3 linked regions of the Rattus norvegicus genome follow. The protein of the gene in region 3 interacts with the protein of the main gene of each other region in a pairwise test. Links are inferred from orthologs where the notes say so. Each region holds a gene or a part of one and is shown on either strand. Other genes may lie near its edges. The genes, in order: Ralgds, Ralgdsl2 and Rap1b.

Region 1 (3,644 bases), on a different chromosome or scaffold from region 3:
ACAAGCCTGGCACCACAGAGACAGAACGGGCTGGCTCAGGGAAGTTGCCCCCTCTTCCATCGGCCATTGGTCTGCCAGTGGCTAAGGCCCAGCAGGAAGCTGCAGACCTGCTAATCCGGCTGCTTCATCTTCCCGCAGCAGCCTGGCTGGCTGTCCCCACTACATCAGATTACCAGAGGCCTACCGTTCCACCAAATGCCTGCCACCTGTCCAAGGAACAAAGCCATCCTCCCCTCCTGTCCAGTCCTGACAGGACTGGAAGTCAGCCAAAAGCTTGCAGTGAGGAACTGAAACCCTGCCATTTCCTGCCTGCTCCCCTTCCCCGACACTGTGGCTGCCACCTCACCTTGATGAGCAGCTCTCTGCTCAAGGAGTAGTTGTTCTCATCAGAGAAGATTTCTGACAGTTTCTGGAACACTCGAAAGCTGCCCCTGGAGGAGGCACAGAGTGAAGGCAATGGTTGGGAAGAGCGTGCACCAGGGCAAGCATGGTGCGTACCAGGGCAAAACGGTGGGGAGCCCGTTTTCCCGTACAGCAAAGATTCTGAGCTGCTGGAGAAGAATCCTAAACGTGGTTCCACTGAAGACCACCTGAGTATGCAAAACTGTGTTTTGCTTTTAGCTGGACAGCTCTGTGGCTGTGTGCAAGCACGAGACACTTGCCTGGCTCTAATCAGGGTGTGCACACTGAGCTGTGCCTACCAGTGGGCCCATCCCTCCATCTTTGCTGCTGGGCCTCACTGAAGGCAGAGACAGCTTGGGGTACAGTAGGGGTTGGGGACGGGGAGGCCTACCTGGAGACCTCTTCCCATGTCTTCTTTAGGCGGTGGATGGCATTGCTCTGTAGGGCAGAGAGGATGGCGTAGAGGGAGGAGAAATTCTTGAGCACCCTGCACTCCTGGGGACAAGGAGTCTGTGAGTGGAGCCCATGGACGAACTTCCTTAATGGCAGGAAGCTCCCAGAGGGCATGCCAGGGACACACGCTCACACAGCACCCAAGTGTACAGTTCCAGGAGAGTGCATGCCAGCTGTGTGGCCCTGAGGTCCCCAGGACCCCCCTATAGCCTACCCTGGCCACCTCGATCCAGTGTTCCACCACCCGGGCCCTGTCCGAAGCTTTCATACTCTGGTCCCCAAGGCAGGTGGTGATGACACAGTTGGCCACGTTGTTGAACTGGGCGACAGTGGCACGGATGGTGGGCGCGAGGTGCTCCTTGCCCTTCTTGTCCCGCTGGGACCAGATGGAGCCCAGGCAGTGGTAGGGCACAACTTTCTTGAATAGCTCCTAGGGAGGGGATCAGTGTCACTGGGCCCTGCACAGCCCAAGGCAAAGGCTGCAGCACTTAAGAGTGAGGATGCGTCTGAGCCTGTGCGACTCTCGCCCCTCCACCTGACTTCTGAGGGCACCCAATGCAAGGCAAAGTAGGAAAAATGAAGGGGAGAAGAAACATACACACAGCAGTGGCTCCTGCCTCTCATCTCAGAGAGCATCTGCTGCCCCTCCCCAGTGGGCACGTCACAGCCTGCCCTGTGTCCCGGTCTCCCGTGCACGGCAAGCACTTCACAATGCTGAGGTTAGGGGTGGAATGGAGGAGGGTGGCCCAGGCACACCTCAGCAAGCACTCCTCCATCCCTAAGAGGCCAGCATGCAACACGCAGTCACGCACGCACCCCCACACACACACGCACTCATGCACACACGCACCCCCACACACGTGTACACACACACACACACACACACACACACACGCACTCATGCACACACGCGCGCACACACACACACACACACACACACACACACACTCTTCATGACCACCATGGGGGTGGGAAATCAATGCTTTGGGTTAAGTAGAATGCCCTAATCACATGTTTGTTAAGAGTGGAGCTAGGACTTGCCCTGGGACAGAGGCTCTGAACCAGAAAACAGGTCTAGACAGCAGAGGACAAAAGGAGGCCTGCCCCGCCCCGCCCCCGTGAGCCACTCACTGCGTCCATCAGCGTAAACTGTTCAGCCACCAAGTCTGGAGGGAACAGCAGTAGGTGAGGCTTTGCACACAGTCCGTTCTCCGTGGTTTCAGGCAGAGGCCAGGAAGGCTCTAATGCAGGAGCGGGCACGGGAGCGGGCTCGAGGTGGAGGCTCTGTGAGACAGTGGGGTCCAGCTCTGGAGCAGGTGCGAGGGTTGGCTCAGGGTCTAGGGGCGGCTCCAGAGCTGGTTCTAGCTCAGAGGCTGGCGCCACCACCGGGCTGGATGCCAGTACTGGCACCGGGGCTGGCTCTCGGACTGGAGTGGATGCCACAGCTCGGCTGGGCGTCAGAAGCAGGGCGGGAGCTGGTTCTAGCTGTGAAGCTGGTTTCAGAGACAGCACTGGAGCTGGGGACAGGGCTGCAGGAGAGAAGATGTCCACTATGGCAGCCTTGTCCAGAGCATTTTCAAGACAGAGAATCACCAACTGCCAGAGAACAAAGCCCTGTTCCCACAACAAGAGGCTACCCCAGACTATGGTATACTACCCACTGGGTGGGTCCCAGGCTGGCTCTTGCTCCTGGCCCAGTGGTTGGAGCCTCTCTGTGGTAGAAACAATTACTGACCCCTCCTAGCAGGTTCTGTGTAGCTACCCCTGGCTCCTCACCCTCAGGCTCAACCTCACTGGGCTCCAGGTCCTCCAGCTGGGCCAGGAGAAGGTGAGCACGGCGCTCCAGGTCTGAGCCAGGCATGTTGAGCTGCACATAAGCCACCAGCTGCTTGAGGCAGGGAAAGTCCGGGGGTTGACAGAAGTCCTCGGAGTATTGGTCCAGCCAGGTGCCCAGGATGGAAGAGATGGCACTGGGGACAGGCAACAGAGTCAGAGGCATGGTTTCTCCTCCCATCCTCCCACAGCACCCTGATGTGCCCCCACCCACGTAACTAGACAGAGGCTACAGAGGATCCTACAGGAGAGAGCGAAGGCTCATCAATGGAATGGGGGGCTCTCCTGGTTCTTTAGGGAACCGTCCCCACTCCTGATGGAACACAGATGCCTCAAGGGTCTGTCCTCTAGTCTGCCATTCACCCAGCGGCGAGGGTTACCTCAGCACCTATTCTTTTTGAGCTGGGTGTGGGTTGCATTTTTCTGAGGGACACGGGGACCAGCTAAGCGCCCATTCCTAAGGAGTGAGGCTGCATGTCTATTGAGATAGGCTATACAAGGGAAGGATTTTCACAGTGACTGCTTCTCTCTCTCTCTCTCTCTCTCTCTCTCTCTCTCTGTCTGTCTGCCTGCCTGTCTGTCTCTCTCTCTCTTACACACACACACACACACACACACACACACACACACACACACACACACACACACACACCCCTCTACTCAGCTCCTTGAAAGTGCAGTATCACCCTGAATTCTATCTTCCTTCGGATACAGGAAGAGCCTTAGACCTCAGCCCAGCAGCAGGAACCAGATGTGTGGGGCCTATAGTTTGCTCAGCCCTTGTTCCCCAAACCTCCCCTCTGGACTAAAAGCCTACTTACTTTTTGAGTTGGTCCTGTGGTCCGCCGTCCTCACTGGAGTAGGGAAGGATGCAGCCATATCTAGAGGAGGCCGTGAGGGCGTCACATCTACCGTACCTGCTTACGATGTCTAGTGTTACTGGTCAACTCCCTGAT
Region 2 (4,194 bases), on a different chromosome or scaffold from region 3:
GGTCAAAGGTCAAGGTCTCACCGCATCAAGCAGGGTCAGCTGTTCGGCCAAGTGGTCAGCGAGGAACACCAGGACATCCGTGGGGTCAGCAGGGGAATCGTCAGGAAGGGCCAGGGGCTTAGGAAGGTCGGGGGCCCGGGGGTCCACCCGGGCCCGGAGGTTTCGGATGAGGTCAGCACTGCCCCCCACAACACCCTCCCGTGCTGCATACCCTGTCCGAAGCAAGAAGCTCTCAAGCCGGTCAAGTTGACCCTTGACCTCAGAGCCAAAATCCTCAGGGTGAGAGGCCAGCCAGGTTGAAAGTACAGAGATGGCTACCCTGAGAGAAGGGGAACCAGCCAGGGGTCAGAGGTCCAGCCTCAGCTCCCTCTGAGCAGACTGCGGTTCAGACAGGGCCACTCACCCTGTGGTCCTCTCTAGCTCGCCCGGAGGATGCGATTCGAGGGCTTCCAGCCTGGGAAGGAGGAGAGAGTCTACCTTGCAGCTTTTTCAGCCCCCACCCGGGTGCTGAGAGTTACTCAGAGGGAATCCAGGAGCCTCCTCACCCTTGGCTCCTGACCTGTCAGCCACAAGCCCAAACAGGGCAGGAGTGGAGGTGAAGGCCCGGTGGGTGGCCAGCAAGGCTGGAGTGAACGTCATGTCAGCCCCTGATGTCCTGGCATCCAAGAGGTGTCTGACCAGGGCCTCCAGAGTACCAGCACGGAGCCTTCGGGAGGAGCGAGGCGGAGGCAAGGGGGCCTGGAGAACATGGAGGGTGTCTCACTGATGGTCTCCTCAATCTTACTGCTAAACATCATCTAGGATAGTCCAGATCTAGTTTTTTTTTTTTTTTTTTCTCCACAGTTCAGAGTTCAGACATGGCTTAAATCACACAAGAGTGCTACCAGACCTCCAATCTAGTGCTCTGGCCAAAAAAAAAAAAAAAAAAATCAAATTAAAAACTGAATGTCAGGACCGCAAAGCTTATGATCTCACCGAGGGATCAAGAGGCCTATACTGGCGGCTTGTGACAGTAAAGGTCGCACCATCCTCCTCCTCATCCCAGATTGACACAGAAGCCTGGAGGAGCAAGAAGAGGAAGTGAGTTCCACAGCACCTCCAGTCCCCAGCCATCGTCCCCAGGCCCTGCTCCTCCCTCTGCACCCCTCACCTGCGATGGCAGGGGACAATACCAGCGAGTTCGAGGGGTAGAGGGTACTGGTGACCCCAGGTCTACCCCACCCTGGGGCTCAGACAGCCCCACTAGCCACCTCAGAGCTCCGTTGAAGAGGTTGGAGTCGGGGTTTCAATTGAATGCAGGAACCCCACTTCTGGTCGCCCCCAAATCCCCTTGCCCCCACAGCTGAGCCCAACACAGCAGAAAAGCGGGGTGCAAAGTCACAAGCAGAGCGCCCGAAGAAGCGCAAAGCCAAAGGCGGAGAGACCTGAAGCTGAAACTTCACAAGACCCGCCCTCCCTGACTGAACCAGAGGAGCCCAAATTCCGCAGACTCCCTTCCCCGGATCCCCAATACAGCTTCCACTCAATCTCAGCACTGGGGACCCCCTGAAGGTGGCGGCTCCAATCCCAGTTACAAGAAGGGGAAGTAGGGATGATGGGGGGGTGGGGGCGGTAGACTAAGAGTCATGTGGCCCTAGCCCCTCCCCCGACCGATCCCGAAAAACCAGCCTTGCCAGTCACCCTAACTTTACCAATGTCGGGGCCCAGAAGTCTGAGTCCTCAGGCTCCGATTCTAACTTCTGAACCCTCCTGAAACCCTAAATCCTGCAGCTACAGTCACAACTACTAATCCCTAAGGACGAAGATGACCACGCTCTACCTATCCTGGGATCATCTCTCCAGGTGCCAGAACCTCTTGGCTCGCTGCCCTTTATTGAGCACCAGGGGGTGGGGGAAGAGGCGGTGAAGCCAGAGGCTTCCCTCCCCAATCCTAGAGTCTGAGGAGCCGGTTACTGTGGAAACAAACCCCTCCCAGCCAAACAAAAACGAGGAGGGAGACAGGGACCAAGACACAACTAACTGCCCAGTGGCAGCCGTCAGAGGCAGGTGTGGGCAGAGGGGGCCTGAGCCCCGCAGGCACAGCCATCCTGCCTGCCAGCCAGACATTCCAGGCAGGAACTCGGCAGGTTCCTGCGGGCGGGTTCCGAGTCAGACGGACAGGGCGAACTTCAGAGACACCAGGACCCGCAGCCAGGGGACAGATATCCAGAGAAAGAGCGTGGCGGGGTGAAAGGGAGGCAGGGAGGAAGAGACCGAGGGACCCAGAAACACCAAGAGAAGAGTCTCAGAAATACTTAATGCCTTTCCTCCCGCCACCCGCGTCTCACCTCTTCTTCTTCCTCCTCCTCTTCCTCCTGCCCCCCGCCCACGGCCCGGCCACCTGGGTCCCCACCCTCTTCGGGGTCCCGGCTCCGGAAGCTGCTCAACACGACTCCCCCGGGGGGGTTCGTGTCCAAAAGCAGCCGCAGGGGCCGCGGGAGCATGGCCGAGAGAAGGAATCAGCGGGGTCGGGCCATTGGGGGTGCCTGGGGAGAGACGGGTGGGATTGGGGTGGAGTCAGACGGGCGTGGGGACTTGGGCACGAAGGGACCTGGGTGGGAGTCCCTCAGGAAGGCTGGGGGGGAGGGGAGATACAGGAGTAGGGAAACCCGAGCCCTCGGGGCGTGCTAGGGGTTAGGGGCATAACTACTGCGGAATGGGCAGGGTCACCCGGTGCTCCGGCTCTGACCTGCTCGGGAAGGGTGAGGGGCTGCGCGCGGGTCCCGGGCCTCTGTTCTTGTCGGTCTCTGGCCCTCTACCGAGTCCCCTCCCTGGCTTTTCCGCGATGCCCCCTCCTGCACCCCGCCGGGCTCCCGGGCCCTCCCGCCCTTTCCGCTTCCCCCCTCCCCGCGTCCGCCCGACAGCAGGAGCCAAAAAGGGAAGGAAGTGAGGACAGGAGCCAGGGCTACCGACTAGGGGAGTGCTGGATGCCAGGGGCTGGGACGCAGTCTCCAGGTGCCCCACTCCACTGTCCCCTACTACCCTACTCGGGGATTCCGAAGCCCATGCCTCCCAGCACAGGCAGGCGGGAGGTCAGGGTCCTGTCTCAAGCCTCCACGGGAGGGCAAGTACGGGATTTTAAATCACTTTCTCTAACGAGAGCAGTGAGTGCAGCAACTCCCGAGGGAAGCGCCCTAGTGAGGGCGCGACCCCGTTACTGGGGCCCCAGAATGACACCACCCGCGCCAGCACGAGTGCAGCGGAGCAAATCCGCGCCGAGTTTTCTGAGCCGCCCTTAAGCCCGCCCACTCGCGCGGGGAGGGGGACGGAAGTCGGCTAGTGCGCCACTTCCGGTTTTACTCTGGTCCGTCGCTCCCGGCCTCCGGCTCTCGCGGTGCGCCAGAGCGCACTCAGTTCCTAAGATGGCTGTGTCATCGCCCCGCGTGTGGGAAGACTGGAGGGGGACCAAGATGTTGGCTGTGCTTGGAAACCAGAGAACGAGAGACCCTCATGAAAACTCTAAAAGACTTTATTGGCTCACGAGGCCCGGCAGACAGGAGTGGACAGCCATCCTTTAAGTACAGCCGGTGGACTGCACGGGGGACGCTCGTGAAAGGACGAGGCAAAGGAAACTCTGTGGTACGAATGGACGGCTGGAGAGGTAGGCATTAGTACTCCATAGGCGACACATGTACCCCTTCGTCTCTAGACTACTGTTGTGGGTTGTCCCAAAGGTCCCTAGAACGCTAAGATGCTATGTGGCCCTATCGTCAATTCCCTGGGCAGTGGTTCTCAACCTTCCTAATGTTACAGTCCTATAACACCGTTCCTCTAGTTGTAAAATTCTTTTGTTACTTCGAAACTGATTTTGCTACTGTTGTGAATCCTAATGTAAATAAATGTCTGGTATTCCCGATGGACTTAAAGGGGTCATGACCTACAGGCTAAGAACCGCCTCTCTAGGGCATACAGTAGTGTCCCGTCCCCCCCCCCCCCCAGGTGAGGACGGAACCCAGGGCCTTGCGCTTGCTAAGCAAGCGCTCTACCACTCAACCCCCAGTGGTTCTTCTTGACCTGTGAATATATGTTCTTGTATTTGGTTCTCTCAACAAAGCCCTGCTACGACACCCTGACTGACCTGAAACTCCTTATTGTAGACCAGGCTGGCATGGAAATCAGAAATCCACGTACCTCTGCCACGTGCCTTGCCAGGGT
Region 3 (3,644 bases):
TAAGTAAATCAGAATTTAGCAAAGAACCACAAGACATGGGACAATAAGAGAGTGGTGGTGCATCCTGCAATCCCAGCACCTGAGGCTGAAGCGAGATCCAGTTAACAGCCTGCCTGGGCTACATGGGACTGTGTTTCAAAACAAACGTAGATTGACTTTCACTTTACTGTTAATAAGATAAACCATCTTATTTGGTCATTTTAAATGGCCACCTAATGCTATGCATCCTTATCTACAGATTTAAGCTGGGCATAGTGGTGCGGGGCTATAATCCAACACTCAGGTAGGAGAGACCAGTGTGCTGTATATATCATTGAGTTCCAGATTAGCCCGAGATCATGGTGAGACCCTGTCTCAAAACATCAGATAGGTAGAGTTTACAGACTCAGATTTGCTCTTCCTTTTGGAATGTAATGCTATTTTAATTTTTTTCCAGACTGTACAGTTTGTTCAAGGAATTTTTGTTGAAAAATATGATCCTACGATAGAAGATTCTTATAGAAAGGTATGTTACTTTTTAAAGGCCTTTTGATTTTAATACAAATGTTTAGATTTATTTTTAGTTTTCAATTATCAAATGTTTTATATAAATTAAAATGAAAAGATGTTTGCTAGTAGAAAATTCATGTGCTATTTCTTGTCATTGCCTGCCTACTACTGTCAGCGATTCATAAGCATTTATACACATGAGTGCATAGACCTTCTAAGTTTATTCTGACCTCAGAACTGTGACTTCACAGTGTCACTTAACACAGCAGTCCCATATTCCCAGGCCTCGCTTCAGTCGCTGGAGAGACAAAGCCTCGGCTCTCTTACTCTTCTGGAGGCGGCCTCCAGTGGGCTTCCCTTCCTTGCTACTTAATGCCTCCTTAAGACTGCTACCGCAAAAAAAGTGAGTCCTGGTGTTTGCTAACACAGCACATGTTAATAAAACAGTGTGTAGACATTTTAAATTTAACAGTGTGAGAGTTGTCCCTCTACCTTTCTGAAGCACCTGGCCCTCCATTGTGAAGATCAGCATTTCCATTTTACCACTTGCCTACCACAAAACTGGAAACTCTTTCCTACAACCTAGCTGTAAAGCAGAAGTAGTCGTTTCCTTCTGTATCTAATTCGAAATAAATTTCATTCCTAGAAAATGTTAGAAGGGATAACACGGGTATGTACTTCATTTCATAATTCTGACACTGCTTCCTTGCCTCCAGAAATTTGTGTTCCAGTATGATGAGACAGTAGATGTCTAGGGAAATAAAGGCATATCCAGAGTGCTAGAGGAGAGCTAGTGGGCAAAGTCACGCTGCACTGTTACAACTCTTGTTTTCCTACTTACCTGTTTTGAAGCCATTTCTATTCCAAAATTAGTGTTGAGCCAGTCTCATTGTGGCTGAATCTTCGTGACTTATTGGGACTTGGAGTTGGTATCTCACTAGAATTTGGGGTGCTTTGAAGTTGGATGACTGCATTGGTTGCTTTTCTATTGCTGTGATAAAACACTATGAACAAGGAAATTAAAGGAAGGAAGCATTTATTTGGGCCTACTGTTCCATGGGTTACAGTCCATCATGACAGCAGGCCACTGTCATAGCAGCATGCAGAACAGAGCAAAGCAGAGAGCAAGCTGGTCCTCAGCGCTGCACTCATCTCACCGCCCCAGCCCTCCCAGACAGCAGCACAAGTGGGAGCCATAAACTGGGCGGTTCTTACTAAGAACTGCTGTGGTGACTGAGTAGTCTTTAAGTACTGTTTGGTATTGCCCTGTAACGGAGTTCCCATAACTTCTTTTCTGTTGTGCTCTTTATTGTTGTGGATATTTTAAAGTAGTTTTACATGCATTAAAAATAAAGGAATATTTTAATTATTTTTTCTTCAGCAAGTTGAAGTAGATGCACAGCAGTGTATGCTTGAAATCCTGGATACTGCAGGAACGGTATGTAAAATAAAATTATCAAAGATATGCAGTGTATAGTACATACATAAGGTTTTTAAATGTTGCACTTTCTAAATGCAGTATATCAGTAACAAAGATTGTTTAAATGCTAGAGTGGAGATTTTCATGGTCTGTGGTGGTACTAGTTCATTTAAGACCGTCTATTACATATTTCAGATAATGTTGATAATGTTTGGGTGCACATTTATTCTTTGATGGCTATTATGAAATTGTTATGTTTGGTAGCTATCCTGGGAAGAACTTTGAAGTAACTATCAATTCTGTAATGAAATGCCTGTAGCCAACTAACTTTGTAAATATAGGTTTGTTTTGGTTTTTCTGGAGGTGCAAGGTCTAAGAACTGAATCTCGTGAGGCTTTGTTCCTGACAGAACCCCAAGATAGTTCATAACAAATGGCAAGACATAGGAACATACATACCTGTGTCTCTCCCCTCGTATAAGAAGCCGTTTCACCTAACAACTTTTTGCTTCCCAAAGACCTCACATGCTACATCCATGGGATTACTTTCTGCCCTCTGGATACCTCAGAATGAGGGTTAAATTTTGAAGCCTTTGGGGCTACTCAGTCATTGAGACCATAACAACCAATTAGGTTTGTAAGTATCCAAAAGTAAGGGAAGGATTCCGGGTACAAAAATGCCATACACAGTTCTTCTCCACAAATGCCCACACCCTAGTGAAGACCTGTAGAAAAAAATAGCTGTAAGAAGTGTTTGGTGATGCTACAGTATTCTTCATTAGGCCGTTAGTGTAGGTTTTCAATGATCTAACTTGGTATGAAAACAAGTCTTTCACTCTTCCTACTACAGGAGCAGTTTACAGCCATGAGAGATCTGTACATGAAGAACGGACAAGGCTTTGCGTTGGTTTACTCCATCACAGCACAGTCGACATTTAATGACTTACAGGATCTAAGAGAGCAGATTCTTCGGGTTAAAGACACTGACGATGTAAGCAGACTCCACAATGAATACTTAGATTTATTCCAAACCTCTAGTTAATATTCCATTTTAAAATTTAAATATTCACTCAGCTTAATTGGTTTTTTGAGACAAGAGTTTCTTGGTGTAGCCCTGGCTATCCTAGAACTCACTCTGTAGACCAGACTGGCCTTGAATTGAGAGATTTGCCTGCCTCAGTCCTCCAAGCGCTGGGATTAAAGGTGTCTATGACCAACATCCAACTTGCCTTTTTTTTTCCTATTTTTTTTTAAATAGTCTAAGTGTTTGTTGCTCAGGCGAGATATCCTGTCTGATCTCCGGATACTAGAACTACTACCTCCTAGCTTTGTATTGCCTATTTTTAGACCATGCATTTGTGGAGATGCAGCAAGGATGTGGGAGAGAGATATTAATAGAGCAGGCTGTGTGTGGCTACATTCACGGTAGACTTAACGGACTCTCCCTATAGTCCAGGCTGGCCTTGAACTTGGAGCAGGCCTCCTGCCTTCTCCCGAGTGCTGGGTCGATGGACACAGCCTTTTAAAGGAATATCTAGCCACATTTATCTCTGACCATATGTCTATATTATGTCTCTATTGAAAAAGGAACATAATGTTAAAGGAAAAGAGCCAATATGTTCAACTCTAAAACATTGATTTAGGGGTCCCTGCAGAATGAAGCATAATAGAGTCTGAAATCTATACATTTCAGAAAGATGGCTTTAATTCCCTATTACCTGTGGCATTGATTCTTA

The links.
Region 1: the proteins of Rap1b (region 3) and Ralgds interact in binary tests that used the Homo sapiens proteins (3 or more experiments, as listed by UniProt). The link is inferred for Rattus norvegicus from reciprocal best matches to the Homo sapiens genes RAP1B and RALGDS.
Region 2: the proteins of Rap1b (region 3) and Ralgdsl2 interact in a two-hybrid assay, tested with the Homo sapiens proteins (2 studies listed by BioGRID and IntAct). The link is inferred for Rattus norvegicus from reciprocal best matches to the Homo sapiens genes RAP1B and RGL2.

Annotation. Positions count from the first base shown.
Region 1 is NC_086021.1:32,267,375-32,271,018, reverse strand, and holds part of Ralgds (ral guanine nucleotide dissociation stimulator), read right to left. Parts: intron 3,606-3,644; coding exon 3,510-3,605; intron 2,826-3,509; coding exon 2,632-2,825; intron 2,385-2,631; coding exon 1,987-2,384; intron 1,286-1,986; coding exon 1,070-1,285; intron 898-1,069; coding exon 794-897; intron 432-793; coding exon 347-431; intron 1-346. UniProt on the Homo sapiens protein: Functions as a guanine nucleotide exchange factor (GEF) activating either RalA or RalB GTPases and plays an important role in intracellular transport. Interacts and acts as an effector molecule for R-Ras, H-Ras, K-Ras, and Rap.
Region 2 is NC_086038.1:4,955,331-4,959,524, forward strand, and holds the start of Ralgdsl2 (ral guanine nucleotide dissociation stimulator-like 2), read right to left. Parts: upstream 2,806-4,194; 5' UTR 2,729-2,805; intron 2,526-2,728; 5' UTR 2,484-2,525; coding exon 2,328-2,483; intron 1,285-2,327; exon of another isoform or gene 1,151-1,284; intron 1,060-1,150; coding exon 976-1,059; intron 739-975; coding exon 560-738; intron 455-559; coding exon 404-454; intron 320-403; coding exon 22-319; intron 1-21. UniProt on the Homo sapiens protein: Probable guanine nucleotide exchange factor. Putative effector of Ras and/or Rap. Associates with the GTP-bound form of Rap 1A and H-Ras in vitro.
Region 3 is NC_086025.1:55,314,711-55,318,354, reverse strand, and holds part of Rap1b (ras-related protein Rap-1b precursor), read left to right. Parts: intron 1-436; coding exon 437-505; intron 506-1,870; coding exon 1,871-1,927; intron 1,928-2,758; coding exon 2,759-2,899; intron 2,900-3,644. UniProt on the Homo sapiens protein: GTP-binding protein that possesses intrinsic GTPase activity. Contributes to the polarizing activity of KRIT1 and CDH5 in the establishment and maintenance of correct endothelial cell polarity and vascular lumen.